4 linked regions of the Notamacropus eugenii genome follow. The protein of the gene in region 1 purifies or fractionates together with the protein of each later gene. This does not show direct contact. Links are inferred from orthologs where the notes say so. Each region holds a gene or a part of one and is shown in the gene's direction. Other genes may lie near its edges.

What was found.
Region 2: the proteins of TSR1 (region 1) and RIOK2 fractionate together in Homo sapiens (co-fractionation; 3 studies listed by BioGRID and IntAct, with this or other methods). This does not show direct contact. The link is inferred for Notamacropus eugenii from reciprocal best matches to the Homo sapiens genes TSR1 and RIOK2.
Region 3: the proteins of TSR1 (region 1) and LTV1 purify together in Homo sapiens (co-immunoprecipitation; 4 studies listed by BioGRID and IntAct, counting the BioPlex papers as one, with this or other methods). This does not show direct contact. The link is inferred for Notamacropus eugenii from reciprocal best matches to the Homo sapiens genes TSR1 and LTV1.
Region 4: the proteins of TSR1 (region 1) and RRP12 purify together in Homo sapiens (affinity purification with mass spectrometry; 3 studies listed by BioGRID and IntAct, counting the BioPlex papers as one, with this or other methods). This does not show direct contact. The link is inferred for Notamacropus eugenii from reciprocal best matches to the Homo sapiens genes TSR1 and RRP12.

What each region holds. Positions count from the first base shown.
Region 1 is NC_092873.1:40,321,539-40,329,143, reverse strand, and holds the start of TSR1 (pre-rRNA-processing protein TSR1 homolog), read left to right. Parts: upstream 1-4,596; 5' UTR 4,597-4,633; coding exon 4,634-4,730; intron 4,731-4,902; coding exon 4,903-5,006; intron 5,007-5,849; coding exon 5,850-6,069; intron 6,070-6,202; coding exon 6,203-6,337; intron 6,338-6,570; coding exon 6,571-6,995; intron 6,996-7,605. Other genes in the region: SGSM2 (small G protein signaling modulator 2), read right to left, coding at 2,390-2,446. UniProt on the Homo sapiens protein: Required during maturation of the 40S ribosomal subunit in the nucleolus.
Region 2 is NC_092874.1:362,528,640-362,535,931, reverse strand, and holds the start of RIOK2 (serine/threonine-protein kinase RIO2), read left to right. Parts: upstream 1-4,290; coding exon 4,291-4,431; exon of another isoform or gene 4,432-4,738; intron 4,739-7,292. UniProt on the Homo sapiens protein: Serine/threonine-protein kinase involved in the final steps of cytoplasmic maturation of the 40S ribosomal subunit. Involved in export of the 40S pre-ribosome particles (pre-40S) from the nucleus to the cytoplasm.
Region 3 is NC_092873.1:232,098,802-232,106,484, forward strand, and holds the start of LTV1 (protein LTV1 homolog), read left to right. Parts: upstream 1-4,664; 5' UTR 4,665-5,429; coding exon 5,430-5,432; intron 5,433-7,683. UniProt on the Homo sapiens protein: Essential for ribosome biogenesis.
Region 4 is NC_092872.1:214,204,110-214,211,771, reverse strand, and holds the start of RRP12 (RRP12-like protein), read left to right. Parts: upstream 1-4,656; 5' UTR 4,657-4,757; coding exon 4,758-4,896; intron 4,897-7,240; coding exon 7,241-7,470; intron 7,471-7,662.

The sequences.
Region 1 (7,605 bases):
CCTATTTATTATTCCACATTAAAGAAAGTCTGGTCCTGCCTGCAAGAGGACTTTTTTTAGCTTGGGGCTCCACTTAGTGAGAAGCAAGGTAAAGTTTCCCAGAACCAATTCATTTTTTTTCCTCCTGAGGCAATCAGGGTTAAGTGACTTGCCTAGGGTCACACAGCTACTAAAGTGTCAAGTGTTTGAGGTCAAATTTGAACTCAGGTCCTCTTGACTCCTGGTGCTTTAGCTATCTGGCCACCTAGCTGCCCCAGAATCAATTACTTCTAAAGTCCTACAGGTGGAGATGTGAATAACTTCAGGGTTAATCCAGGGAATGTGAGAAGCCTTGCTGATTCCTGGGGCTTGTAAATTACAGGCATGCCTCCTTACTCCTGTTTGGAAACCACTCATTTTGATTAGGTCTCATTCATTAAGGAAACAGTGGAAAGAAAGAGTGCTGGACTGGAAGTCAAGAAGACCTGAGTTAAAAAACCAACTTTGTCATTAAATAGCTGTGACCTCAGGCATGTCATTAACCTTTCTGGGCCTCAGCTTCCTGATCTGTAAAGTTGAGGTGGTTGACCCCTCAGTTCACTTCCAGCTCTAAATCTATGATCCTATGATGGCCTGGCTCGACATCTTCAGATTCCTGGCCTCCCCCTCACCTGACAAACCTCACCAATTTTCAGCATTGTCCAAATATAACCCGGTTAGGCTAGGCTCTTTGTCCTAGTTTGCTTTTTTATCAGTGTGTCCTGCTTCCCACATCATCCGGCCCATCTCCCCTGAGAACAGAGTCTGTTTTCTACTTGTGAGCTGGTTTTATTTATTTCCCCTGGGTAAGATTCAGTTGGTCATCAGTCTGCCTGTCTGGGGATCTGGTGTGTTTAATGTCTTCCTGGCTATGTTCATTCAGGTGCATTCAGGAATCTCACTACTAACAGGGGAGATTAGGATGTTCAATATTCCAGGGCAAGAACTGTCTTTGCCTTTCTTTGTACCTTACAGAGCTCAGTAGAGTGTCTGGTGCATAGGAAACCCTTAATAAATACTTGTTGACTGGCTGGTTGAATTAGGAGGCATCCTTCAAATTTCAGAAGCTTCATCCCTACCTTTGTGGAAAGGAGTAAGAGAATGGATATACAAAGGAAAGGCAGTCAACCTTGGGTTTAAGAGTGGGTTAGTGCAGTCCTTCCTGAAGGAAGGAAAAGAGGATTCTTTGCTAAGAAGCAGTATCCCTGCCCCCAAAGACCCCTGAAACCAGCCTACCCTGGGTCCTGAAATTGGTCACCACACCAGCCTCTTGGATCCTGCCAGACTTCCATTTAGCCTTTTACAGGGTCTAAGAGACCATCTAAGCCTTGGTCTACCACACAGCCCAGCATGCCCCAAGTAAAGAATTCCCCCTTTCCCTCTAGGCTCTGAGGGGAGGGGTTCTCTTTTCCCTAGGGACATTTGCTCTCAAATAGCTCAGAAGTAGGGTTGGGGTGTGTGGATATTGGGATGTCTATGGTTGGAAGACAGGGCCCCAAGATCAGGATGCAGAGAAAGGGGCTTGGTTGGCTTGAGTATAATAATAAATGCTTGGGTCGATTGGACATTTTCAGAGATGAACCCCATAAAGGGCAGAGAACATGGCAGGGCAGCTAAGACCATAACAAGGGAGGGAATCACACTGATGGAAGGGGGAAATGGCATCTGAAAGCAACAGGGAATAGAAGAGGCCAGAGTGGCAAGGTACAAGGAAACTGGGGAAGGGGGCATCCCTATTTGGAAAGTCAAGGGTTCCCACAGGCTGAAAATGTAGAAGATCGCACGGGTGTTTCTCAGGCAAGAACCCGATAGTGGTTTGGCTTATGGGGGTGGGAGGAGGGAGAAACAGTCTGGGTGCGGAAAACCCTTCTGCAGCAAAGTCCCAGGTCCCGGGAGCCGGGAAGCTAAGCTTCCAACTTCAACGACCCTCGAGCCCCAGAGCTGGGGGTGGGTGCCCTGAATTGCCCCGGCTCCCAAGGGAATCCATTCAGAAACCGCGCCCCGCCCCCCCGTTTCCCTCCTGCGGGGTTTCAAATGAATGAACCTTATCCCCCTCCTTCAATCTCTTCCACAGGAACTACCTCTCCCCCCTGGCCCCCCTCCCCGCTCCCGAACTGCTGCTGCCGTCATAGGGTGGGGAGCTGCAGGGACCGCGGAGAAAACAAGCACCGGGGAACGCTGGATGAGACTCTCCCCCTCGTACAGGGTCTTCCCAAATCAGAGAGGGTCCTTCCAAAGCAAGAAGGGGACCTTAAAGCACTGGGCCACGCCGAGGCTGGACCTTTTGGAGTCCTATCTCCCGACCATGCTGGGGCTTGTTGGGGTGCACCCACTAGGACCGGGCTCCTTGCATTCCCGGCGCGAACCTCACCTCCTTTTTGACGTTCCACAGTAATTTCTCTTTGATTGCGTCCTCGGTGCGGCTCATTGTGCCCAGGGGAGCGGAGCCCCGCGCCGACTAGCCCCGGCTGCTGCCACTGGCCCCGCTCCTGGTCCGGTTCTCCGCGGTTCAGCTGCCCGCCGGCAAGGCGGAGCCCCGGCCCGCCGCTGCCGCCGCGCTCACGGCACCCTGCAGCCGCCGCTGCCCGCCGTTCCCCTCCGCAGCCATCTTCCGAGCCCGGCACAGACAGACGTCAGGAGGCTGGCCCGGCCCCTTCCCACAGCCGGGGGAGCTTGGGGAGGCGGGAGGGGGAGGCAGCGTCTACCTGGGGCGGGGGAAGCGAGGAGGGCTGGCCTGGGAGCCGCGTGCCATCCAGCAGCCGCCGCCATGGCAACGAACTCCCCCCGCCCACCCCCGCACCCCTAGTCCCGAGGGCGTGCGTCTGGAGCACTGCGAGGGCCCCCCACCCATCCACCTCCTTTGACCCGGGAATGGTGGGAGAAAGGAGGGGACAATGCAACAGGATTCCCCTGGGTGGGGAAGTGGGAGGCTTGGGGAGAGGAGGGAGACTCTTTACCCGACTGAAAAGTAGAGGGCCCCAAAAGGTGGATGCCACCCAAGTATAACGGCTTCTCTTGCCGAGCAGAGAGATCAGTTCGAGGGCATAGGCAACTGGAGGGGAGCGTCTACAAGGCGAGCCCCGTGGATTGAGAACCCCGTAACTGTGGCAGGGTCTAGAGCAGTAATATTAGTCCTTCAGGGCTTGCAAGGAGCTATCCTCCGCCCCAGCTCGGGACTTGGGCGAACCTTAGGCCAGCAGGGTTTCCGAAGGGATGGAGAAGCACCCCAGGCTGGAGGCTGGGAATCTGGGTGATGAAATAAACATGAATTGCTCGCTCTCTCGCTCACTCGCTCTTTCCGCTCCTCTACCTTCTCTCAGAGATGAAGTCCAACGTATATCTGGCTATATCTTTGTGTACCAAATTGTTTGCATGTAGTGAACTCGTGGAGAGCAATGGCTATTTTTTTTTTTTGCTTTTCTTTAAATCCCCACCCCCACCCCCCGTGCTCAGCACAGTGCCTCGTGCGTAAAAGATGCTTAATAAATTGATATTGCTTGACTCGACTCTGCCTCCGGATTCGTTCCAGGGCGGGTACCCCCTGTTTACAATCCGCAGCAGCTGGGGTGTGGGGAGCGATGGCAGGGTTGCAAACTCTGGGTCTTGGAGTCGAGTTAGGCTTAGTTTGGCCAGAGACAGTCACAGGATGATGTGTGTGTGTGTGTGTGTGTGTGTGTGTGTGTGTGTGTGTGTGTGTGTGTGTGTGTGTGTGTGTGTGTGTGTGTGTGTGTGTGTGTGTGTGTGTGTGTGTGTGTGTGTGTGTGTGTGTGTGTGCAGAGGTGAAGGGACTTGCTTTAAGCCTGAAACATTCGCTTAGTCCCAATTCCAGAAGTTAGGAGAGAAGACTTAGGCTGAGAGGCATCTCCCCTCTCTGAGCCCATTTTCTTTTCTGTTAAGTGACTTGGGAGACCTAGAAAATTGGGTGGGTTGTTCTTTTGTCTGTCTGTGGCATTCAGGGCGGAGCACGGCGCCTGGCACACAGTGGGCGCCTCATAAATTTTTGATGATAATGGTGATGAGATTACCTCCCAGGGCCCTTCCAATTCCAAATCCTTTAGTTCCCCGGGGAGTTCTGCAGAAAGGAAAAGGACACTAGGGCCCTGAAAGGAAGGAAGGAAAAAAACGGTTGATGTGAATTGGAGAAGTCACGAGCAGCTCTGGGCTGCAGGACCAGACGCAGAGCAGTGGAGGCTCCGTCCTTGTGTGCCAGAAGCTCGGAAGGGCCTGGGGGTGGGGTCTCCATAGTCACAAGCAAATAGCCAACCTGCCCTCCCATCCCCCGCAACTAAAGCAGGGTATTCTCGTAAACCAGGAGACAAGAAGCAAACTCCGAGGCCGAGGGAGGGTTCTGGGGAAGCCTGACCGAACTTGCAATTAAAGCCCCCAAGTCCGCAGGTGACCACGTGGGGGAAGGTTAGAGCGCGATAGGCTGTAGGTCTCAAATACTCCCATTGGCTGAGGAGTGATCTACTCTTGAAACTGGGGAAAGCCCCGCCCCTCCACCGAAACTCCGCCCCCTGGCAGAGCCCCCACCCACTCAGGCCTCTGTGCTGGCGGAACCGGAACCCCTGGGCTTAGCACCGGAAGTCGTAGGTTCACGCACGTGGGGAGCAATATGGCGGTTCATCGCGCCGGCCCGCTCAAACAGCAGAATAAGGCCCACAAGAGCGGGCGCCACCGGGGTCGGGGTTCGGCGCAGCGGGACGGCAAAGGTGAGGGGGTCACGGGAGCGGGCGGAAGGAGGGCTCAGCTCAGCCCTTTCTCCGTCCTTGCGGGCGCAGGAGGCCTTTCTCCGCCCTGGCCTCCGCCGTAGTCGGCCGCCTCGGCTGCCGCAGGGCCCCGGACTCACGGTCGGCTCTCTGCCCTCCCGGGGCCGCCTTCCAGGTCGCGTGGCCGTGAAGGCCCTGAGCAAGAGGAGGAGGAAGGAGCTGAGCCGAGTGGACCAGAGGCACCGGGCCAGCCAGCTCCGGAAGCAGAAGAAGGAGGCGGTGAGGCGGGGGGTGGGGGCTGAACGCCTGCCCCCAACCCCAGCGGCCCCCTTCCCTTCCGCGGCATCTCCCGAAGTTTAGCCGAAACTCCAGTTTCCTCCCCTCTCACGTGGCCGTCGCGTGGGTTCAGGCCGCCCTCCTGTCTAAGTTACTGCCATATCCTACTGGACCTTTCCCTGTGGAGCCTCTCCTTTCTCTGTCTTTCCTCCACGCTGTTTTCGAAGTAATCTTCCCAAGAAATAAGTCATCACGAAACTCCCTGCTCAGAACCGCCCTCGCCTCCCGGCACTGCTTCCTCTCCCCTGCTGCCTTTCCCGGACCACCCCCCTTAGTTCCCTGGTGCTGACTCCGTGCTGTAAATCTCACGGAGAACAAAAACTCCTGGCAGACAGGGACAGTCCACTTTTGTCCTCGTGTCTCTGGCCTCTCCCCCAGCGTCCGACACAAAGATGCCCCATAGTGGTTGATGAGGAGGCCCTGCCTTGAGTTAGAGGTCTGGTCAGCATTCTTCTCCTGGCCCCATCGCTCGCTGTAGATAGAGCATCCTGGTCCAGGGTGCAGGATGCCTTTAGAGACAGTGTGGTACCCCCAAATAATGTTGTTGCATGTAAGAGTTGGAGAACCAGCAATTTCATCCTGGCCTTGCTGTGACCCGGAACAAGCTCCCTCCCTCAATAAGACTTTGTTTCCTTAAGACTGGAGGTTGGGTTAGATAGTTTCTCAATTCTGTGGTCCTCAAGGTAGAGAGATCATTTGAATGGAATACTGAGTATGAGAATGAGGGAAATAGGGCAGGTGGACCTGCCTGTGAAGTGCTCACCCGCCTCTCTTCTCTGTCCTCAGGTTTTGGCAGAAAAGAGGCAACTGGGCAGCAAGGATGGACCACCTCATCAGGTGCTGCTGGTGCCCCTGCATGAGAGGGTTTCCCTGGGTGAGGCTTTGCAGCTGCTCCAGAACACAGACAAGAAGGTTGTGCCTGTGGGGGAGCAAGCTGGAATGCCAAGCTTCATGCTGCTCTGTCCTCAGCTGAAGCATCGATGGTTCTTTACATCTGCAAAACCAGGTGGGTGAAAGGCCAAGGGAGGAGCAGCGTTGGGCTGAGCTTGACTTGGACTGTCCCTGTCATAGTTAGTTGGCCAGTGTTCTTAGTGTTTTCTGAGTGTTTGTGATGTCTTGTTGATGCCTTGTGAATCCAGGCGATCTGCACACTCTGTTGGACCTTGCCAAAGTGGCTGATACCATCCTGTTTGTTCTGGATCCAGTGGAGGGCTGGGACAGCACAGGCGATTACTGCCTCTCTTGCCTCTTTGCTCAGGGGCTTCCTACATATTGTAAGTGAATTATGATTATCAGCCATCTCTAGGAGAGCGGTAGGATCCTCTTCTTAGGGGCCAAGTTACCCACATAGTACTGATTGAGTGTCTTAGTTTGTGGGTTTATCCTCCGTCCCTTGTCTGCCACCTCTATGCTGGGTTTGGTGCTCTGTGTTTAGTGCAGAGTGAACGGTTCATTAATTGCAGTGGGCTTTCATGGCTCATAACTACTTGTCTGTTTTTGTGCCCAGCTCTAGCCCTCCAGGGGGTTGGGGGCCTTCTCCCAAAGAAACAAGCAGATGCCAAGAAGAAGCTGAGCAAGGCCTTAGATAAGCGATTTCCAGGAGACAAACTGCTCCAGTTGGATACCCAGCAGGATGCAGTGCTGCTTCTGCGACATCTGGCTAACCAGAAGCAGCGGCATCTGGCCTTCCGAGACCGGCGTTCCTACTTGTTTGCCCATGCTGCTGACTTTGTGCCCAGCCAAGAGAGCAGCTTGGTGGGCACCTTAAAAGTTTCAGGCTATGTTCGTGGGCAGACTCTCAACGTAAACCGGCTCCTGCATATCGTTGGGCATGGTGATTTCCAGATCAAGCAGATTGACGCACCCCCAGACCCTTTTCCTCTAAATCCCAGGGTGATCAAGGCCAGCAAAGGCCTGGACATGGTGATGCAGGTGTGTGGTATCACTGGGCTGTACTTGCTGATGATCGGCTGGTTTCCAAGGAAGCTGGCAGCTCGTTTTTGTTTTTTGATTAAAAATTTTTCTTTTTTGTTAATTGTTACTGGAAAGAGAATGATAGTTATGGCTAACTCTGTAGATCTGTATTGGCACGTAGTAAGTGCTTAATCGATGCTTTTAGTCCATTACGTTCCATCTGAAAATAGACTAGGGATGCCTCTGTGCTTTATCTAAGTCATGGTTTGAGAGATGAAATCATCAGTGGGAGAGACATGGTTAGGTAACAGCTGGTCTGAAAAAATCTCCAGGCTTTAGCAGATCACTATTCAGCATGAGTCAGGCAGGTGAATATGATTTGGGGCTGTACTAAGGCCAGGGAGGTGGGAGACCTTCCCTCAAGGGGAAGAACTCTCCAGGTGAGGGGAATAAAATGGATAAAGGGACAGGTGCAAGGAGGAGCAGCACATAGTCATATGCTAGCAAAGACATTGGCCCTACTAGAGGTGGGGGGGATGTCTTGGAGAGTGATGGAGGTTGCTGAGGAGGGTGGAAAATAGGCAGACCTGACTACTTAGGAAATAGCCATTGAAAATTTACCAGCAGG
Region 2 (7,292 bases), on another chromosome or scaffold:
GAGCAGAGCTGAGAGGGAGTTGGTCAGACTAGTCAGAGTTGGGAAGGACAGAGGAAACAGGCAGCCAGGACTGTGAGTGTTTGTGGGAAGGCCTGATACCGTGTATAGACTTCTTGGTTATTATGATGGATTTATTTGTTACTATGATGGATTTGGTTTTCTGGTGTCTAAATCAATGTTTTGGTTCTATTTTCCATGTGGAAAGTCTGTTACATTTTGTGATTCAGAATTATGCTGGCATATTCATAGCTGCCATAGGTGCTGTGAATATTGCTGTGGTGCTACATATGGTTGAACATCAAACAGACTAGACTGACAAAAAGGGAAGGGAATAAATATTTATATATCAGTTACTACATGCCAGACACACAAATATTATTTCATTTGATCCTCACAACAACTCTTTGACTTAGGTGCTGTGACAATAAAAAGGTTCAAGAGACATAATTTCTGGATAATTTAATCATTTTATTAATAAGGCCAACATGTTATTGATAAAAGGATGGTTATTTGGCCTTTCTTTCTTAAACCAAAGATAATCATGGCAGCTGGTACTCTTCAAAGAGTAGGTGTTCAATAAGAGGTTGGGAATATCATCCTTGACTTATCTTACCCAGACCACTTGTGCCTTGGGCAATCTATTCAAAGAATTTCATGCCCCACCCAAGCCTGAGCAGAACACAAAAGCTACTCTACCAGGGTGGGGTTCAGTCTCATCAGTAATGCCCTTCAAGAGACTGAACTTTTTAAAATCATGACTTTGAAAGAAAAGTCCTTTGATTTCCCCAAGTCATTGTGTATTAACAATCATTTCCCTCAGTACTATTATTATACTCATTTTATTCTATTATTATATGTTATCATACCCATTTCACAGTTGAGGAAATTGTAGTAAACAAGTTAAATGACATGCCCAGGGTCAAACAACTAGTAAGCAAGATGGGATTTTACTTGCAATGTTCCTGATTGAAATCTAGAAGCATGCTTTCTCAATCAAAACTTTCCCCTGCCACATACATGTGTCAAAACCTCCTAGAATTCCACCTTCCCTACCAACACCACCACAGTAATCCTCTATATCTGCCACCTCTTCATGGAGGTTTTGAGTTTCAGGGTACAGAAACTGCCTCAGTACATAGAAATGGAACCTGATTGTCCTGATCAAAAATCGTCTCTGCTCTGAATGTTGCTGAGATTGAAAAGTATGAAATGCTCTTCCGATGAATTTACCCCAAACTTTAGGATTCCTCATAACATCTCTCTGTATCTTATAATATTTTCTATATGCCAATTTTATATCTTATATTTGGCTATTATGTGGTACAGAAGTCCTCAATAGAGCTTACCTGGTAGACTTCCATTTCAATTATCACTGCTATGCTTCTCCACCCTCTGACTCCTCAATTTCTCAGTATTCACAGAAGAGATGGGAGCCTTAGTCAGGAACTCTGCTCTAGGTACACATTCCCAAACAAACCTCACTTCATTTTAACAGGGATTTCTGACAAAACACACATATAAAAAAGTTCAAAGCTTCTAACAAATAAAAAATAGTTTCCCAAACTGGAAAAGCATGGCAGGTTTAATATAGAAAGTATGCAAGAGGTAAGCAAGATTTTTCTGTGGACAAAACAGTATTGAAGCTAAGGGATTCTGTGGCTGACATGCAGCAAACAGAAGGAAGAATGTTGGCTAGATGGAAAGAGAAGAGTGACCTTTATCTTCTTTGCTTAGATTTTGTTCTAGATCAAATTTGTTTGGCTGCCAAACCAGAGATCTTCAGAACTTAGAACCCTAATTCAGACAGCTGACTGATACATAGGGTAACAACTCAACCCCAGACACATGGTGTTAAAAGAAAAGACTTACTGTTAGCCTAAAATTTTCTGCCTAGCTTTGGTTAGCTGGGTGTGATAGTCATAACCAAGATGACTAAAGAGTTCTCAGTCCACCCACATTAGGAAGGAGTTGTCTACCTCAGCCTAGCAGATAGGAGCTGAGAAGGATGAGATGAGATGAACACCAAAAGTTTATAACAAGCAGCAACCCATAAGACCAGAGGCATGATATGACCAGGAGAAAGAGAACACAGAACTAGGGGAAAGAAGCAAAGACTTCCACAGACATAACTTGATAATCAAATATAAGTCCAAGAGAGAGCAATTGCCCAGCAGGGTGCAAATCCAAGGACCAATACAATGTCATTACAAGAAAATATCATCCACCCTACAGCATGGAAGCATGAGTTTCTCCTACCAGCATGATCCCTACACATAGCTACTCTTCCTACCAATGATGCACGTATTTGGAGAAAAGAATTTTCTAGGTTTGTGGCAGGAATGTTTTCATGTTACTTTATTATTCAATTTCATTAAGTGCTTTGCTCTGTATCAGTTGAGTCCTCTATCCTTTAACAAGTAAAAGTATATGGGGGCAGAGAAAAAGGATAATGAGTTTCATGAGATATGGTTTTGAATAGTTTGAATCTTTGGTAGCTTTTGGGGGAACACCATGTGTAATATAGTATTGCTGTTTCAAGTTTCACAATTTGTCAACTGGGAAACAACCAATTATTGCTGTTGTTCATCACCCTATCTATTATACTTAGAGAAGTCTGTAACCAGACTAGGCAAAGGGTGATGAATGTTTTCACCACTGTAAACTCTCTATTAAGCCATAGAAGAGTTAACAGGGTATAAAGTAAGAACAATATCTTCTAAGGTTCCAGACATGTAGGTTAGATTAGTTTTTCCCTGAAAATCAATTAAACTGGTGAGATTTAATTGATTCAGGGAACCAAGGCTAGAAGTACTAACTGACATATAGTCTCCTGGTAGCCTAAGTATAAAAGTCCGATTGAGTCAGGGTACCTAAAGTTTGAGACATAGTTCTGACCAGGCACATTACTCAGATCCAGGAAAGGCCTGATTCAGGTCAATTTCCTGGAAGTTCATGTTCAAGAATGGAATGAAATGACACAGTTAGAAAAGTCTGGGAGAGAAGAGGTATTTACACTGACTACCAAATTGAAGGTATACAGAGCCTTTGTGCTGACCTCATTGTTGTATGCCTGTGAAACATGGACAGTCTACTAGCACTATGCCAGTAAACTGAATCACTTTCATTTGAACTGTCTTAGGAAGATTCTGAGGATCACCTGGCATGATAAGGTACCAAACACTAAAGTCCTTGTTCAAGCTGAACTGCCAAGCATTCGAACTGTGCTTCAGAGAGCACAACTCTGATGGGTTGGCCACAGAGTTCAAATGCAAAATGTACGCTTGCCAAAAAGACTATTTTATGGAGAACTCATGGTGGTCAGATGAAGTGATAGAAGGACACTCTCAAGAACTCTGGATTTGATTGTGCAACATGGGAGACACTGGCACAGGACCATATCAGAAAGGGTGCTGTGCTCTATGGCAAAGCAGAATTGAGACAGAACAAAGTAGATGTAGGAGGCGCAAATTTGGAGTATTCACCTCACATATTCAGACAGACTGTCTGGGCCCAGCCTGTAGTAGAGCATTCCCAGTCTCATCAGTCACAGAAGGACACCCTGAAATTTCACTTTATCAAGGTGATGTCATTTTGGTCCTCTTGGAGAACGCAGGACAACAACCAACCAACCAAGCTTCACAATGTGGAACCCCTTTGCAACAGAAAGGGTTCTAATTCCTACTTTACAGATGGTGAAAACTGGGGGGAGAGACATGACAAGATACGCCCAAGCACCCCCAAGTTGGTAACTGTCATCTCCAGGACTGGAATGAGGACTCCCAAGTCCACTCCCTTGCCAGTCCATGACAGTGCATCTAAACCACTCTGACCAGCACCTTATCCCCGAAGGTGCTACAGGGGGCCTCCAGATAAAGTTGGTTTTATTTTACTATTCACTTATTTACCTTTAACTTCTCCAGGTCCAAAGTGCCCAGCCTAGTCTTTCTGTCTCTCTCACCCTCTTTAGGAGACCACGGTGCCGGAAGGCAGCAATAGAAACTAACCTGGAAGAAACTGCTATGCCCACCACTCGTCAATTTCCCAGGGCCCCCACCCCCGGCAGGACACTTCACCTAGGTAGCCAATCCTGGCAGATTAAAAAGAATAAACCTCCCAGAAAGAGCACTTTTCCACATCCAGGATTAAATTTCGCTCTTTGATTCACTGTGAAAAACATTAAACTTGTAATTCCCCCTGATTCCCGAAACAAAGAAGACCGCTTGCTTTTTTATTCGAAAGGGAAATCTTGGGGTTTTATATATCGACAAGGACCTGGCAGCCAAAGGACGCATGCGCCCGAGGCGCCTTCTCGTTCGGGCATGTGTGCTGGGAACATTCCATCGCGGGTTGTCTCCTGTAACAGCCATGGGGAAGGTGAACGTGGCCAAGCTACGCTACCTGACGCGGGACGACTTCAGGGTTCTGACCGCGGTAAGACCCGGGATGCGCCGTGCCCGATCTCTCCCGACCCCGGCCCGACGGGCGCGGTTTCTCCCTCTTCCTCCGGCGGGCTGACTTGGGTGCGGTCCGGGGAGCTGGGCGGGCAGGAGAAAGGGAACCCAGCCACCGGGACGGACTCTCCCGGAGAACCGCGAGCCCGGCCTTCTTAGATCTCCGGGGAGTTTCGATCGTCTGGACCCCGGCCTGCGAGCATCGGGCGGGAGCAGGGTTGGGGCCGGGCGGGGGCCACGCTCACCCCGCGCTGGCTGGGGTCGAATCCCGCCCTCAAGGGGAAAATGAGGGGGCCTTCGGGATGGACGTTGTGCTTCCGGGTTCAGCCTGTAGAGGTCAGCGATGAAAGGTTTCCGAAGCATTTACGTATGTTCTGTCTTCTGACCCCCTGAGGTTCTGTGGTCTTTCTTCCCATTTTACAGACGAGGAAACAGGTTGTCCCTGGAGCCAGGAAGATGGGCAAGTTACTTGACTCAGTTTCCTCCTCTGTAAAATGAGCTGGTGAAAGAAATGGCCCACCACTCTGGTATCTTCGCCAAGAAAACCTCCAGGGGGTCACGAAGAGTGGGGAGTCGGAGACGTGACGTGTGTGTGTGTGTGTGTGTGTGTGTACACAATTTAAAGAAAATAGATGGGGAGAAGTGTTTTTCTCTCCCCCAAAGATGACCATGTGTAATCCTGGCTTAGAGTGAATGTCAATAGTAACTGTTTCTGGTGGAAACAACCACCCTGAGACTCCTGCCCCTCCCAGCTTGATTTATTTTACTTTTTTTCTGTTTAAAGGGGTCATCCCCTGACTGCTTTTTAAAGAGGCCTGTTTACAGAATGGGCATTACCTCACTTTAAGGGAGTACCTGAAAAGGCCTTACCCTGAAAGGCCAAGGGCCTTCCCTAGTCATCCTGATGAATATCTGGTCACTGGATTCAGGTGGCTCTGGAAGAGAAGTGAGGCTGGTGACCTGCACAGCCCTCCCTCCCTCAAAACAAAGTCAAGTGCAAGTCCTGTCATCATTTCTCTGATGTCACGATTTTCTTCAAAAACAATGGGCGAACAGAACAATGTGTAGTACTATACAGTACATATTCCCTCATATCACTTCTTTTTAAGAGATAGCATCATAAGGCCTTCCTAATTGATTTGAATGTTCATATTACTCAGTAGCTTAGTTATTCAGTTACTCTTCATACAATATTGCTTTTATTGTATACATCCATTCTCCTGGTCTGCATTCTTATTTCATGGAAGTCTTTGCATATTTTTCTAACAGCAGCCTGCTTGTCATTTCTTACAGCACAGTAGTATTCCATCACAGTCATAAGCCACAACTTATTCTGCCATTCCCAAATTGATGGATATGCCTTCAATTTCCAATTCTTTGTGACTACAAAGAGCTGTTATAAATATTTTAGAACATATAAGTTCTTTTTTCTTTTTCCCTAATCACCTTGCTGGATCAAAGAATATGCATGGTTTTATAACTCTTTGGACATAATTCCAGATTGCTCTCTAAATTTATTGGATCAGTTCACAATTCCACCAGCAGTGTATTAAAGTCCCAATTTTTCGATATTCCCTTAAACATTTGACATTTTCCCTTTCTGTCATTGCGGTCAATTTGATAGATGTAAGATGATATCTCAACATTATTTTAGTTTCCATTTTTCTAATCAATAATTATTTAGAGCCTTTTTTCATAATGACTACATACAGTTTTAATTTCTTCATCGGAAAATTACCTGTTCATGTCCTTTGACCATTTATCATTTGGAGAAAGACTCATCATAAATCTGATAAAGTTCTTTATATCTTTGAGATATGAGACCTTCATCTGAGAAATTCTCTAAAATTTTTCTCCCAGTTTCCTGCTTTTCTTCTAATCTGGGCTATGTTGTTTTTATTTGTACAAAAACTTGTATAAATGTCATGAAACTTTTAATGTCATCAAAATTTCCATTTTTAAAGTTTTTTTATTTGTTTTCAGTTTTCTACAATCACTTCCATATATCTTAGATTTTTTCCCCTCCCTCCCCCTTCACCCTTCTCCCTCCCTGAGAAGGCGTGCAGTCTTATATAGGTTCTGCACATACATTCTTATTAAATACATTTTTACTTTAGTCATGTTGCATGGAAGAATTAAAATGAATGAAAGAAACCATAAAACAAAACATAACACAAAAGAAAATGGTCTGCTTCATTCTGTGATCCAATTCCATACTTCTTTCTCTGGATGTTATCCATTTTACATCACATAATACTCTCATCTATTCATAAATTCTTCTTATCCATAAATCCTATAGGTAATATGTTCCATGCTCCTCTATTTTACTTTTGATATCTCTTCTTCATGTCTAGATCATCTGTCAGTTTTGACTTTATTTTGCTGTTAGCCCATACCTAGTTTCTGCCAGACTGCTCTCCAATTTTCCCAGATGTTTGCCAAAAAAATGAGTTCTCATCCCAAAAGCTAAGATCTTTGTGTTATCAAACACAAGGTTGCTAGAGCCATTTACTACTGTGTATTGTATACCTACTCTTTCATCCACCATAGTATTTCTTAGCTAATATCGGATAGTTTTGTAATTGCAGCTTTATGGTAGTTTATGGTCTGACTCTGCTATATCTCCTTCCTTCACGTTTTTTTTTTCCATTAATTCCTTTGACATTCTTGACCTTTTATTTTTCCAAATGAATTTTATTTTTTTTCTAGCTCAAAATAATTTTTTGGTAGTTTAATTGGGATGACACTGAACAAAGATCAGATAGACTTGTCATTTTTGGTTACGTTGGCCGTGGCCACCTAAGAACAATTAATATTTCTCCAATTATTTAAATCTGATTT
Region 3 (7,683 bases), about 190 Mb from region 1:
AGTGGGTAATGAAAATGAAGCTAAGATTGTGGGCTCAATATTCCTAAAGGTCAACTAATTTTCCTTAGGAAGAAAAATTGCTATTCACAAAAGAAATTACACAAGAGAATGTTAGCAATTCAAGACAAACCCATAGCTTCATAACTAATCTGAAATAACAATGTATGGCTTGCTAATGTCAGGTAAGTACTATATATTGATATATAAAATGAGCATCTTTTCTGTACTATGCCAATGTACTCATACTAGCCAAATGCTAGATGAATATATGTAGGAGTATTGATCTCTTCAGGAGCTCACCATATAAAGAAATGCAGCTCCTACCACAGATAATGCTCATAAACCTGCAATCTATAAACTTACTCCAAAATTAAAACTTTTTTTTCTAGGAACTTACTGTCTAACTTTCAGATTTTGAGGAAAACAAAGCTCTCAGAAAACACTGGACATAGTTTCCTGGGTCCATGCTTTTGCACAGAACATCCCATGTGCCTATAATGTACTCTCTCCTCACTTCTACCTCTTAGAATCCCTGGTTCTCTGTTGAGCTCAAAAGCTGCCTCCTATATGAGGTCTTACCCAAGGCCAGTGCCTCCCACCCAAAAAATTAACTTTATGTTTGTTTTGTACATGTGTGTACTTGATGTCTCACCCATTTTAACAGAAATTCCTTGAAGGCTGGGATTTGTTCACTTTTTGTCTTCTCAGTGCTCTGAAAAAGATGTTTTAAAAATGTTTCTTTCACTACTTTACTGATTGATGATTACATGTTATACATATGGTAATAAAAAAGATGTTATTCCATTTAAAAAAATCTGAAGACTTATCACTTTGACACTGAACTTCACATAATTAAAATTTATTCTTGCATGAATTTAGTCCAAATTATTTCTGATTTCCATGATAACAAAGAATAATTTTTAAAAATTTTTCTAAACATTGTAAAATATTAAAACTATCAGGTGATTAAACAGAAAGAAGATAAAAATTCTGGGAAAGATTTTTGAGAGAAAAAATTAACCAATAAAACAAATATCTTATTGTCTATCTTCCCTAAGTTCCTTTTCCATTCTATTTAATATAAGGTTATTAGGTCCCTGTGAGCCTACCACCACATTATTCTCATTGACCAATTAATATATAACCTCATTTTGTGTGTATTTCTGTTTAAAGACATCTTATTTAATATATATTTCTTAAAAATAATTATATGCAGTATTTTCTTTATAATAAAATGTCGATTACAGCATTTTTGTGTAGTGTACTTTACTGTGACTATACTATTTTTTAACTATCATACACATATACACACAGCACATATATACTGTACTCAGTAAAATTTACAGACAGTACTGTGAACAATACTATATATGGTATAATACAGTAATGGAAATAAAAGTCCTAGAAAAAATTAAACAAGGACTAAGCATTTGAAGTTTTATAAAAACATTTACTAAAATCTTACTTTTGGTGGAGCTATAGGATGTGTGATGTGGTGCCTTGTGCAGTTAAATCTCTCCACCAGGGTTTGCCTCAGGAAAACCAGAGAGCGGTTGGTGGAACTTATTCTGCAGAAGACCAAGGCATTGCAAGGGAAGCATGTCAATATCTGGCAACCCTATCTCAGGCGTTTAGCTCTTGCAACTTGTTGATGGCTTTGGCAATTTCCTCTCCTGAACCGGCTTGACATCAGCCTTTGTCTGCTTTTTGGCTTTTCACCTCAGATCTTTAAGCATCTTGGTGTAAGGGGCAAACCCAGTGGAGGTTAGGTGCTTAAATTTCAAGCTGTGCCCAAGCATAGGGTCACATTCTTCCATAATACTGATCATTTCTAATGGAGAATTCCATTCTGATATTTTGGCCTCTGAGAGCAACAATTCTGAGGCTTAGGCAGACTTTCATCACCTTCCTCATTATCGCTGACTCTTTGTTTTGCCATCTCATCCAGGTCTTTGTTGATGGGTTCTACTGCCTTTTCTGCCAAAATTTCCTCCACATTTTCCTCTTTCATGCCAAAGCCTTCTCTACTTATTTGCCATGCATTATGCATTATGCTTTTGACACTGCTCTTTATATTTTCTGTAACACCTTCTAGGCCTACAAACTTTTTCACACAGTTTGACCAAATATTTTTCCAAGTTATTGATAGTAGCCTGCTTGGTGCTATCCCTGGCTGTGCCAAAATAATAACACTACTTATAGTGAATGACTTCCAATAATCCTTCATGGTGATTTCCTTGTTTTTGTCAAGAGCCTTACAAGCCTTGCTATAAAATTCCCTCATGTAATGTGCCTTGAAAGCTTTTACTATGCCCTGATTCAGGGATTGGTTGAAACATGTAGGTTTTGGGGGCATAAAAAGAACTATGTTTGGGTGGGCATTTTTGAGCTCTTCACAGCAATGGACTGGGGCATTATCCAAAATTAACAAAACTTCGAAGGCAAGATTTTTGCCCTGGAGATAGTATTAAACTTTTGAGATGAAGTAGTTGTGAAACCAATCCCAGAATATTTTAGGAGTCATCCATGCTCTTTTGTTCCACCTCCAATGGACTGGCATATGGTTCAGGTTTTTCCCTTTAAGTGCTTATGGATTTTGGGTTCTATACACCATTAGGAGTTTGTTCTTGAAGTCACCCTTGGCATTGGCCCCCAGTAGCAAGTTTGTACAATATTTGCTATATAGCCAGGGGCTTTGGAGGCCAATTGTGTTATATAGGTTCATTTTTCAACATCCTTGTAAAACAAGCCAATCCCTTCAGCACTGAAAGCCTGTCCTTTCACACAACCCTTTTCCTGTGTAACACTTAGCACATATTTTTAAAAATTCTTCCACAGTCCTCCTGATCTGCAGAACCAGTAAGTTGAACAGTTTTCACACAGTATTGCTTTTTGAAGCCTGTGAGCCAGCCAGCACTAGCAGAGAAGGGTTTAACATTTTGCTGACCCTGGGAAACAGGACTATAAATTTCTTTGGCTTTCTTCCTCACCACAGTGCTACCTACTATGCTTTTTTAATTGGTCATCTCATGAATCCATAAATTTAGCCACTTTTCCATCACTTCATCACATACTATAGATGTTAACGGAGCACTTTCTGGAACAGCCTCCTAAACAGACCAGCAAGTTTCCTCTTCCTTTTTCTGGATGTACCCTATCATTGATTCGTTAACATTGAACTCACAGTCAACAGCACTGTAACTCCTGCCCCAACGAAGCTTATCTGATGCATGTGTTTTCTCTATAAGGCTTAGACAGCACTTCAACATTATGCTTGGGGGCCATTTTAAATAGTGAAATCCTCAACAAAAAGCACAAGAATGTGAAAAGTGTGGCAAGGATGTTTGTTTATGGTATAAAAGCTGAACCAAAAGCAAAGAAACATCACTTTGTTTTGACCTCAGCTGGGAACATGCAGGAGGGGTGACTGCATATGTCCAGGAATGACTGCAAAAGCACAGCATAAATTTTAGCAAGTAGGCAACTTTACAAATATGGAATCCAAAAATAATGAGAATCGGGTAAACCTGATATTTTTTGGCACATATTTCAAAGGTGAGAGCATGATTTCAATTTTAAGCTAAATATGGGAAAGATTCTGAATACTTTTTACCAGCTCAGATATCATAGGGAAGAAACTCACGGGAGTTTTGTAAGGAAACACAAAGTGGCTCAAGCACAACCTGAAATTTTTACAGCCTTGAGGATATTCGGTATTCCCCCTAAATAAACTGCTGCAGAACTGGGGGAATGGGACGAGCATTCCAAATATGCTGAAACCAGCCTGAACCTGCAAGCCAATTGTTAAATTTTCTGTGGGAGCATTTACCTCTTGGAAACCTAGGAATTCCAGCTAATACTACAGAAAAAGACTTGATTTACTAATATATTCTCTAAATTCAAAAAAAGGGATGGGGAAAATGATAATAATGTAGATTAAACTTTAAAAATGTGCCTGGTATACTTCTTTTCCCCTCAGAAAGACATTTGTTTAACATTTGCCGGCACATTCTAGGATAAAATCAACCAACTTTGCAATGATGGCATCAGACTTGCAGCTGGAGGGGTCATGTGGTTCAAAGGTGTAACTCACATGGTCACTAAATGATATCCCACAAAATGGTAGTAATGTTAAAAGTACTACAACAAACCCCACAACCCCACAAAATAACATTAAATCCTGTTTAAATAACGGGATCATTCTTGAAGCTGCAAAGAGCCTCAGAGGTCATCCTGCTCAGGGGTCAAAGACCCTCCTCAAAAACGAGGAGATGAAAATGTAACGGGAAAATGTTACCTATGTTTTCTTTAAATACAATTATCTAGATACGTGGTTTTTCTAAGTCAACATGCAGCCCACGGGGACCCTCATCTTATGGTCTCTGAGTCTGACCTCCCTATCTAGCCCCGCTTAGAGTCCACACCATAGGGGGTCTGCTGAAGGAGCTGGGGTTGTTTAAAACGGCGAAGATCCAGGGGTTCCAAGAGAGCTGTTCTGAAGTACTTCAAGTACTGTTAAGTGCCAGAGGGATTAGATTGGATCTGTCGGGCCCAGAAGACGGAACCACGTGCGGCAGGTGGAAGTTACAAAGGTTCGATCTCGACAAGACACAACGCTGTCCACAAGGATAAGCCGGCTCCTCCGCAAGCAGAGACAGGACGGCACTTGTGGAGATGCTCCCATTATGGTTTCTGATTTCTTGGAGACTGGAGATCGGCGGAAGCCGCAGGAAAGCCGCCCGAGATTTGGGCAGGATTGGAGATTTAGGGTCAATGCATTCCCCGCCGACGCCTGTAGAGGGAGCCGGAGAGAAAACAAGCTTGCTCTTCGCAAACCACGCCCCCTCCCAGCTCAGCGGCCTCCACGGTCTCCCAGACAACGACGCCTCCGACGTCTTGGGACGCCCCGCCCCCGGCTTACAAACTGCCTTCCGCCTCTCGGCCCCCAACGGCGCGTGGACCGCTGTCACCCCTCCTTCGGAGGGGGGTGTATATGGATGCCGCTTTCCCTCTCTCCTTCACCCCACAAAGCTCTTCACCGAAATAGAGAGAGGAAATCCCCCTTTCCGGCCTTTCCCTAGCCCCGCGCGAAGCTTCCGGAAGGTGGAGCGAGAGACATTTCGCAAAAGGTCTCGAGGAGAGGGGCGGGCCTCGCGCATGACTCTCTCTTCGAGGATTGGCTTACCTTCTCCGACGCGCGTGGTGACGTATACGGAGCGGGCGCACAGAGCAGATGAGAGGTTCCGGGGGCGTTTTGCTTCCGGAAGTGACCTGCTAGGGCCCTGTGGCCGCCGCGTGACGTGATACCGGCGCGCGAGCGAGTGAACTAGGACCGACCCAGCGTGTGTCGCTCCAACCAGAGCAAGGAATACCTGGGAGTGTGCGCTGACGGCCCAGTCTTACGGACGTGATCCTCTGTCGGCTGCAGCATGGTGAGCCAGGCCACCCTCCTTCCCCGCAACGGGACTTCCGAGGAGTGTAGACGAAAGGGAATTGCCCTGCTGCTAGGCCCCAGGAGGCCTCGGTGCTGGGTTTCGTCCTGACTTCCGTGGGGCAGGTCCCGGTGCTCCTGGTGGCTCTTCCCTAGTGACGTATAAGCCAAAGACCCCTTGTCCGGCCCTCCCTTGAGGAGCTAACTAGGTCCTCCTCCTCCCCCTCCACATAGTTTACACCTGGTAACCAGATTGGTATTTCTAAAGCGCGGGCCTAACTATATCATTATCCTGCTCAGAAGGTTTCAGGTACCTGTTCTGATCAACTACAAGCTACTTAGAGCTCTTTAAAATTGGGTGCCAGATTTTTTGTTTTAATCTCCATCCTTCCAGCTTTTACGTTCCAAAAAAACTTGCTGAACAATCTTCCCCCCACCCCGCTCCCGTAGGACCCCCTGGTTTTTTTGCAAAGGCCAGGCCTGCCCCCCCTTACTGAGGTTACTACATCCTTTCAAAGCCCAAGCCCCTTGTCACGTACAGGGTCTTTTACGTAGTCTTTCTTCATCTTAGTACCTTCCCGGCTAACGATGTATTTTTCCTGCGCGTAATTGAACATCGTTCTTTGCATGTTGTCTCCCCCGCTGTTAGACTGTGAGCTCCTTGAAAGCAGGGCTGCTTGGTTTTGTTGTTGTTGTTTTAGGGTTTTTTGCCTTTATTTGTATCCGCGCTGCTTAGCACCTGACACAGAGTAAGGGGAGGGAAAGGAAAAGCCATTTAGTAAGTACCTGCTTTGGCCAGGCACTGCACTGAATGCTTCACAGATATTCTGTCACTTGATCCTCACAGCAACCCTGGGAGGGAGATGCTGTTTGAGGCAGAGAGCAGTTAAGTGACTTGCCCAAGGTCATGGAGCTATTTTGTGTCTGAGGCTAGATTTAAACTTGGTTCTTCCTAACTCCAGGCAGGAGTCTTTTCATTGTGGCACCTAGCTACTCTCTCGGTAAGTGCCAAAGGGAGGTTTCTACTTCCCACATTCAGGAATCTCCCTCCAATACATCACACCGCTTGTCAGTCCATTAAATTATTCAGTTTAATATTTAGGTGCCTGTGATGTCTGTGCACTTTGCTTATGCACAATTCTTGTAATCTGATGAGAGAAAATTTTATTTTTATATAAATATACACACATATATACATACACACACATATGAGAATGATGGAAACGAAGGTAGAAGAAATTTAGGTAAAGTGGGATAAGAAATTTGAGTTGAAGAGTATATTCACCTTGGGAAGGTGGCAGGAAAAAAGGACTGGGGAAGCTTCATGAATTGGTCAGAGATGTATAGGGAATTTCTGTTTGTCTTTAGTTTGGATTAGATAGATCAGGAGTTGGCAAACTATGGTCTCATTAGCTATTTTTGTATAGCCCTCAAACTAAGAATAGTTTTTACATTTTTAAATAAAGTCATTTTCTGGCCCCTCGACTAGGTTCCTTCCAAGTTTTGGAATTCTCTGAAGAGGTTGCACTTGAGTTAGGGCCTTATTGGATATAGGTGAGATAGGGATCCCTTCCAATGATGAGACATTCTATGAGGAAAGATTTGGGGATGGGAGAGGGCAAGATGAGAACAGGGGATGGAGAGTGACTTTTAGTTTGTCTGGAACCTATAGTTATAATAGTCTGTAGAGGGAATTTGTGGGAGATAAGGCTGAAAAAATCAGTTGGAATTCAGTTAATCAGAGGCAAACTGTTGGGAAACTGCTCAAGTTTCTTAAGTAGAAAGGTAATATAATCCGAGGAGTGAGTTGGGAAGATTACTTGGACAGTGATGTGAAGAGTGTTTAAAAAGAGAGAGATTCCTGAGGCAGGACAAATACTTGGGTGGCTATTCTATTAGTCTAGGCTACAACAATAATAGTTAAGATAGCACTTTAAGATTTACAGGACTCTGTACATTTATTATATCCTTTGATCCTCACAGAAACCGCATGGTGTAGGGGCTGTTATCCACATTTTAGAGAAAGAGTGAATGACTTGTCCAGGGTCACACTGCTGGTAAATATCTCTGGAAGGATTCAAATTGTGATCGTCCTGGCTCCTCTAGCACTCAGTCTACTCTATCTGCTGTAACACCTAGTTTGCAAATATAGTTTTTCAAACTTTTAATTGCCGTTTATGTTAGGTATTATTATAAAAATATTTTACTTACTAAAACTTAATTGGAATAAGACTTTGGGAAACCTTTTATCA
Region 4 (7,662 bases), on another chromosome or scaffold:
TCCATCTGGTATATCACTTGGGCCCAAAAAACAACCAGAAAGAGGAGGGTATAGTGGGCTGTATCACATTTTCTATCACTTGAAGCTAGAGCAATGTTTTCCATTTATTACTGTCTTGGCTGCCCTTTCCTGTCTTTTCTAGCACTTAGCCCTCTATAACTTTCTTTCTGTCACAGCTTGCCCTTTTTATTTTCACCTTAATCAAAGCAAATAAGCTTGAGGACCCCCACCAATAACTTTGCCCTTTCCTCAAGGTTTACCAAGGAATATTACTAGTCTGTAAAACTGGGGGGTTATACTAGATCAATTAGTAAACAGGTATTTATTAAGCCCTTACTACGTGCTAAACACTTAGGATACAAAGAAAAACAAAAATAAGGTCAGCGTTTTCCAAATCTAAAAACGCTGTGTTGGGAAAAAGATCTAGCTTTTGAGTGGGTTCCATTCAGCCTTCTGAAGCCTCAAAATAGGAAGGAAATAAGCATTTATTAAGCATCTACTATGTGCACAGTGCTTTAAAATATTATCTCATTTGATCCCCGCCAGGTTGTTGTTGTTCAGGTGTTATCATCCCTATTTCACAGTTGAGTAAACTGAGAGAGACAGTGGCTAAGTGACTTGCCCAGGATCACTCAGATAATAAGTCTCTGAGGGTGGATTTGAATTTGGGTCTTCTTGACTCCTGGTCCAGCACTCTATTAACTGTATCACCTAGCTTCTTCAAGGGCAAGGTATGAGGAGCTTAGAAAAAAGAAGAAGCAAGCAGTAGGAAAAACAGAATGTAGAGGGAAGGAGGATAATGAGATGTTACTTTTAAAATATATAAATTTTAAGAAGTTTTTTTAAAAAGGATTTTTGATAGTAAAAGTTTTGGTCCAAGGAATGACAAGGTTCTTCAGGTGTTTCAAAGGGCATTGTGCCAGACTGCCTCACAGCAAAGGAGGTTCTGATGGGTAGTCCTGCAGGAGGTTGTCTGATCCCTCCATAAGGGTTTGGGAAATGGAGAAACTACAGTGCAATGAGTCATTCAAAGAACCCTGAGCACCATATTATTAGTGAGGCAGTAGGTATCAAACCTACCATTGTATTGTGAGTAAAATGTAATGAGATTCATGAGTTTTTCTTCAATTTTTCCTTTCTCATCCCTTTACAAGTTTTCCCAAGATGGGAGGTCTTAAGACCAAATGGCCACCCTTAAGACAACCCTTACGCAGCATCTGAGTTAAATCTTAGAATAATCATTGCAATTTCCCCTTTTCTGCTTTATAGCCATGTAGTCTCCTTCCCTTTATTAGTTCTAGCTCAGGTTATATTTCATTGTTGCTTGGGTGCAGGGAGACCAACAAATAAACAAGATTTAAAGAAATTGAGCCAAAGAGTTTCAGTGACTTGCCCAAGGTCACACAATCAGCAAGGGCCTGAGGTGACATTTGAACTCAGATCTTTCTTATTCCAGGTCCAGCACTCTATCCAGTGTGCCACTAGCCACCTCTATGCATATTGTTATCTTAAGGGTTAACAACACATTTTTGCTGTTGTTGAAAGGGGTTCAAGAAACAAAAAAAAGTGAGGAACCATTACTATAGGAGAAGTTCTGTAAGTAATAACAGCAGGGATAGCTGGCAGGACAAAATTTCCCCCACCCCGTGCCTTTAAGATCTCATAGGCTCTGCTGCCACACAAAGGTTGAGGGTACACATTAATCCTGCTGGATGAATGGCTTAATGTGTTAAATGCTGTATCATTGTGCAAGCAATAACCCATTCAGTAAACATATTTAGCAGGGGCATTTAAAAGCACCCCAAGCTTTCAATAGAAACAATTTCTTGTTTTATTTCCCAGATGTCCAATAAAGCTACAATGTGGTTTAAGGAAATAGGCTTTTAATATCTCTGACTACTTTCTCTCACTTCCTGAACCTGTTTTCCCATCTGTAAAGTGGTAATAAATACTCGCATTCCACACCTCACAGTTTGGCCCGAAGAAAGTGATTTGTGAACTGCAGGGTTACAAAGTTATAACAAGCTGTAGTCTCAGTCAGTTACAAAACTGGCTGACTGCTGATTTCCTCATTCAACTAGACCAGTAACTCATCGATGCTCTATTATCCCTATAATTAAGAACAAACCTTCCCGACTGTTGCCCAGAGTGTTACAATAAAAGGCATCATTCTAAACAATCCTGATACTCTATATGAAAACACAGAGGTAAATTCAATGATATTTGCTTTACAGAAGGATTCACCTAAAATCCCTTTAAATAAGGAACCACACTGGTTCATTTTAAATGATTCAATTTGCAAAAGAAAATTTTTAAAGGAATGTATATCCATCTCTCGCATGAAGCAAGGTGCTCCTTTATTGTATATTTACCAAAAACTCTATCCTAGTATCTCACAATTTGCTTAATATAGAATAAAAAGGTAGCACCAAGTATGTTTTAGCCAAATTTACCCAAGCTATCATAATTTTGCACTGAATATATTATAAATTGAAAGTTGGGCTCCCCTACTTTTTCAAAAGGTTGCTTTTAAAAGATGAGTAACTATGATTAAGAGGCTGAGAAAAGGTTCCTTTCTTTCATATCTCGATGAAACTAGACCTAAAGTTCTGTGACTTTTTTAAAAAAGTATTTTGAAATAGGAGATGTTCAAAATAGTTTTATGGATGAAGTAACTGAAACCTACAGCTAAGTGACTTATCCAAAGTTCCAAAACTAACAGAGGCAAAATATGAACCTAGGCTCCTGCTTACAACCTCAGGGCTCTTTATCAGCACCTACCATCTGGTGCTATGCTGTGAGATTACATCTCACTTCACCAACAAACGTCCCCTCAATCAGGGATGCTCCCAGGCTGTGGGATCCAAATGAGGTGAAAACAATAGCTCACATTTATATAGTGCCTTAAGGGTTGCAAAGCAACATCATCACATTTCTTCCTTAAAACAATCCTGTGAGGTAAGTGATACTCTACCACTCATGTAAATTGGGTGCAGTGAGACAGAAAATCTAGTGGATTTTTCCTGCCAATGTGAAGGAAGAAAGAGTTGGGGCAAAGGGCAGATGCTTGTTAATATTAAAAAACTGATTTAAAAAAAAGCTTGATTCACTCCTTGATTTGGGGCAAATCAGCTTTCCCTTAGTTTCTCCCTCTATAAATAGGTTTGTTGTGAAGAAAAACTTACTGTAAAGTGCTATAGAAATAGATATTACTATTCTCAGTCCCAGATTTGCTACAGAGTAGCTATTTAAATGGGGGGGGGGTGTCAGTCATTTCTCTTCTCTGAGCCTCAGTTTCTCATTTGTAAAATGAGACCCTTTCAGGTCTGACATTCAATGATTTTATGACCTGGAGCCTTCTAGGATTCAGGGAGCTAGATTCAATGGCCCTGTCATAGCTAGCAGTTACTAACACAGAAGATTCTCTCAGAGAACATTGCAATGGAGATTAGCCAGAATCAGCAGCTCTCAAAGTATGATCCCTGGGAAGTCTTTTCAGGGGACCCTAAGGTCAAAACTATTTTCATAATAATACTAAGATGTTGTTCACCTATTTAAATATTCCTTCCTTTTCTTCTGTGTGAAGTCGGGTTTTCTTCACACACTTCAACCAAAACAAGATAATGAAAGCAGATTGAAAGCAGAGGCAGATATGAGAATCCAGTAGACATTAAAGCAATTTGCAAAAATATGTTAAAAAATGCCACTCTTCTCACTAAGTTTTTTTTTACCATTCAAAAATGTTTGTTAATGTATAATCTATAATAAATTGTTTCCCTTTCAAAGAGGGGCGAAGGAGGAAGGGAAAGAATTTGGAACCCAAAATTAAAAAAAAATAAAATGTTAAAATTGTTTTTACATGTAATTAAGAGCAAAAAAATTAAATAATTACATATATAAATATACAATAAAATAAAATAAATAAATATGATAATAAAATAAATAAAAAACATAATTTAAAGATATGTTACCACTTTATATGTATACTCGATCTCCTACTGCTTGCCTTCTCAATGGGTGGGGAAAGGGTGGGAGGGAAAGAAATTGGAACTCAAACTTTTTAAAAATAAATATTAAAATTGTTTACATGTAATTGGGAAATATTTAAAGAAATAAATAAAAATATATTAAAACCCAAAAAATTTATCTAAGTAGGTAATGCAGTGGATAATAACGCTGGGTCTGGAATCAGGAAGACTTATCTTCCTAAATTCAAATCTGGCCTCAGACACTGTGTGACCCTGGGCAAGTCACTTCACCCTGTTTGCCTCAGTTGCCTCACTGTAAAATGTATTTTTGCCAAGAAAACTCCAAATGGGGTCACGAAGAGCCGGGTAGGATTGAACAATCGTTTTTTCATTTCTAATACCGTATCGATAGCTCAGTCCTCCCTCAGACACGTCGTCTCTCTCTGACGGCCCGGTCTTTTTCGGCAAGGAAGGACGGACACACACACATCGACAGCCATACCCCACGTAAACAAAAGCTCCTTGAAGTCCTCGACAACGGGTCTTGAGACCCGAAAGTCTGAGAATTGCAGTTCAAACAATTTCTAAGATCTCTAAGACCTCCAAGGTCCAGACTCACAGAAACCGGATGTTGACGACTTCCACCATGGTAACCAGGGGAAAGGATCCGGAAGTGACTGGCCGGAAGCGGAAGTGAGGCGCTCGGAGCCGCACGTGGGTGCTGTGCGTGCCGGGGGCTTTGGCGAACGCCGCGGCGTCAGGAGCTGCTACCGCCGTGGGCCCCCAGCCATGGGGCGGTCGGGGAAGCTGCCGTCGGGCGCCTCCACCAAGCTGAAGCGCTGGAAGAAGGGACACAGCAGCGATTCCAATCCCGAAGGTCGGCGGCACCGGCAGGCCGCGCGCAGCCGCTTCTTCAGCCGGCCCTCAGGTAGCGCCGGCCCGGGCCGGGGCCTGGGGAGAGGGGATGGGTGTCCAGAGTTGGCCGCGGGTGGGCGGGGGCCTGGAGGCTGGGGGCCTGCGTTGGGGCGGGGCCTGAAGGGGCTCCGGGACTAGGGCCCTTAACTCCTCCCCCCGTGGGGTCCGAGAAGGGAATGCGGGGAGTCCAGGAACTTCCCCCCTTATGCTTCTTCGTATGTTCCTGTATAACTGGTGTCCGTAGTAATCGTGTTGTTCATTTTGCGCTTTAAAAAGCTGTCCTGAGAAGGGGCCGTAGGCGTCAGCGCGCCCTGGGGGGTCTTTGACCCGAGGAGGGCCGAGGAGTGCCCTAGGAGTCAGGCCTTGGTGTCCTGGGAGCATGTTTGGACAGAGATTGCGGGCCTCGTGAGGCTGAGTGGCCTGTGGGATCCAGGGAGGAGGGGGAGTGGGAAAAGCAAGAGTCACTCTTGAACCTGTGAGATTTAAGGAGGACTTTTAAAAAAGTCAATTTTTTTTCGCAGTAGAAGTCTTACGGATTACTGCTGGTGCTTAGGGTTGTCACTGACGGGGGAATTTTTGAGTCTCATTCCCAGCTGGATTCAACAAAGGAAGATGGGGAGGGAGAGAGGGCATTTTCAGCTTTGGAGACAAGCAAAGGCACGGAAGCAGGAAAATGTTTGGCCAACAAAGGAGAGAACATGTGTGAGAGAAGGCTAGAGACACTAATGTGGCAGTTGAGTGGTATTGGGAGAGAGGGTGGCATTTGGGCCAGATGGAAATGGGGAAAGTGCCTCCGTTCCTGTGGAAAAGCTTGGAAGTTTTGGAGCCATCAGTTTGAATGAAGCATAGGGTAGGGACATGTTAAGCTACTAATGGGGAGAGAAAATGTAGACGTAGAATTGACAGGATTCTGGCAACTGGTCAGGGCCATGGTTCTGAACTTTGGGTGTGTGTTTCATGTCAACCTCATTGGCAGTTTGATGAAGCCCAATAGCATTTTTTTAATGAGTAAAATACAAAGGAAACCAGTTACATAAAATACAATTATCACAATACTTTTTAAAAATAAATTTATGGACTTCAGATTAAGAACTCCTGAATTAAGGATAGGAGAGAGAAGAGCTAAAGATACCTTGAAGGTAAATTTTTAGCTTGGGTGATGGTAGAAATAATTGTACCAGTCATTCATTTAGCTAGATTTAGGTGTTAGGCTTTCAGCAAACACAGAGTATAGTCCCTGCCCTCAAAGAATTTACTTTCTGGGATGTAGGTTGAGGAGTAAATAAGGACTATCTGTACAAAGTAACTTCTGGGGGAAGAACTAACAGCTGGAGGGCCTGCTATAAAAGATGCAGTCTTGAAGGAAGTTGCACCTTCTAAGTAAGGAAGTAATCAATACATTCTAGCTAGAAGGAAATCCTGTGAAAGGTATGAAAACAACACAATTCCTGTTACATTACAATAGGGGAAGATATCATAGATAGGGAAGTGGGCCTAGGAGGGATGTTTTGAGCAGGGCTGCTGAGTGGAGCCATAGAATGATTGTTCGAAGCATCCTTTCTGTGCATGGTAGAGTTGATTTCATTACTATTCCCAGAGCAAAAGCAAGAAGTGACCAGGTGAGAGGGGGGACACATACAAAAGATGCTGTAGAGGTAAACTAGCCAAGACTTGGTGACTTGATTGAATGTAGGTGGTGAGAGGGGGGAAATTCAAGGATAATTCCTAGATTTGGAACCTAGGTGGCTTAAAGGATCATGATGCCCTTATTAACAGGAATTGTATGTGGGACTTCCAAATGGAAAATGTTATAAAAGCAGGATGCAGGAGAGGATGGGGATGGAAATGTAGCTGGATAGAAGTGGTTATTGAAGGCAGCAGATTGGATTGGATTGCTGAAGGAGGAGAGAGTATAAAAAGAAATGGGGAGCATCGGTGGCATTTAGTATATCTGGGAAGAAAGGAGCCAGTTGGGAGAGGAACAATCAAATCAAATGTCAGGAAGGGTTGTTGAGCAGAGTAAGATGCCACTGAGACCTTTAGAAAGATGATAATTGGAGGAAGTAGTTGGATTTTGTTTCATTAGTGACTTGAGAGCTGTTTCAGTAGGACAGTGGTGATAGAAGTCAGGTTGCAGGGGTGAAGAAATAAATAGTAAGGAAACAGAGAGAGCAAATGGAGCCATACTTGGAAAGAGTTTGGTGAAGAGGAAAAACCCAGTGACTTGGGGGGACAATGGCATGGTTGAAGGGAAAAAAAAATTATTTTTAGGATGAGAGACCTGAATATAGAGAGGCAGGGATTAAAGAAAGTCAATGACCTCTCTCTATAAAGATTAACCCTTTTCCTCTTCTCAGAAAAAAGCGATCTAACCGTCGATGCCCTTAAATTGCATAATGAGCTGCAAGCTGGGCCTCTGCCCTTGGCTAGGGAAGAGAAAACTCAATCCCTCATGGAGAATGAAGCTGGCTCAGTGCTCTCTGAGAAATCTTCAGGCACCTTCCTGAGTGGCCTTTCTGACTGTACCAACGTCACCTTCAGCAAGGTGCAGCGTTTTTGGGAGTCCAGCTCGGCTGCTCATAAGGAGGTATGAGTTGTAGGCCCTCTTAGGATCTGTGTTTCAGTATGACGTGTGAAGTTAGTTTGTTTGGTTTCTCAAACTCAACTTCAGGTCTTGATATCAACTGATTTTATTCGGCTTTGGTTACAAATTAATTTGTCTAGCACTGGTGAACTCTTGGTGGAGTTGAAAACTGATCCAGCCATTCTGGAGAGCAAT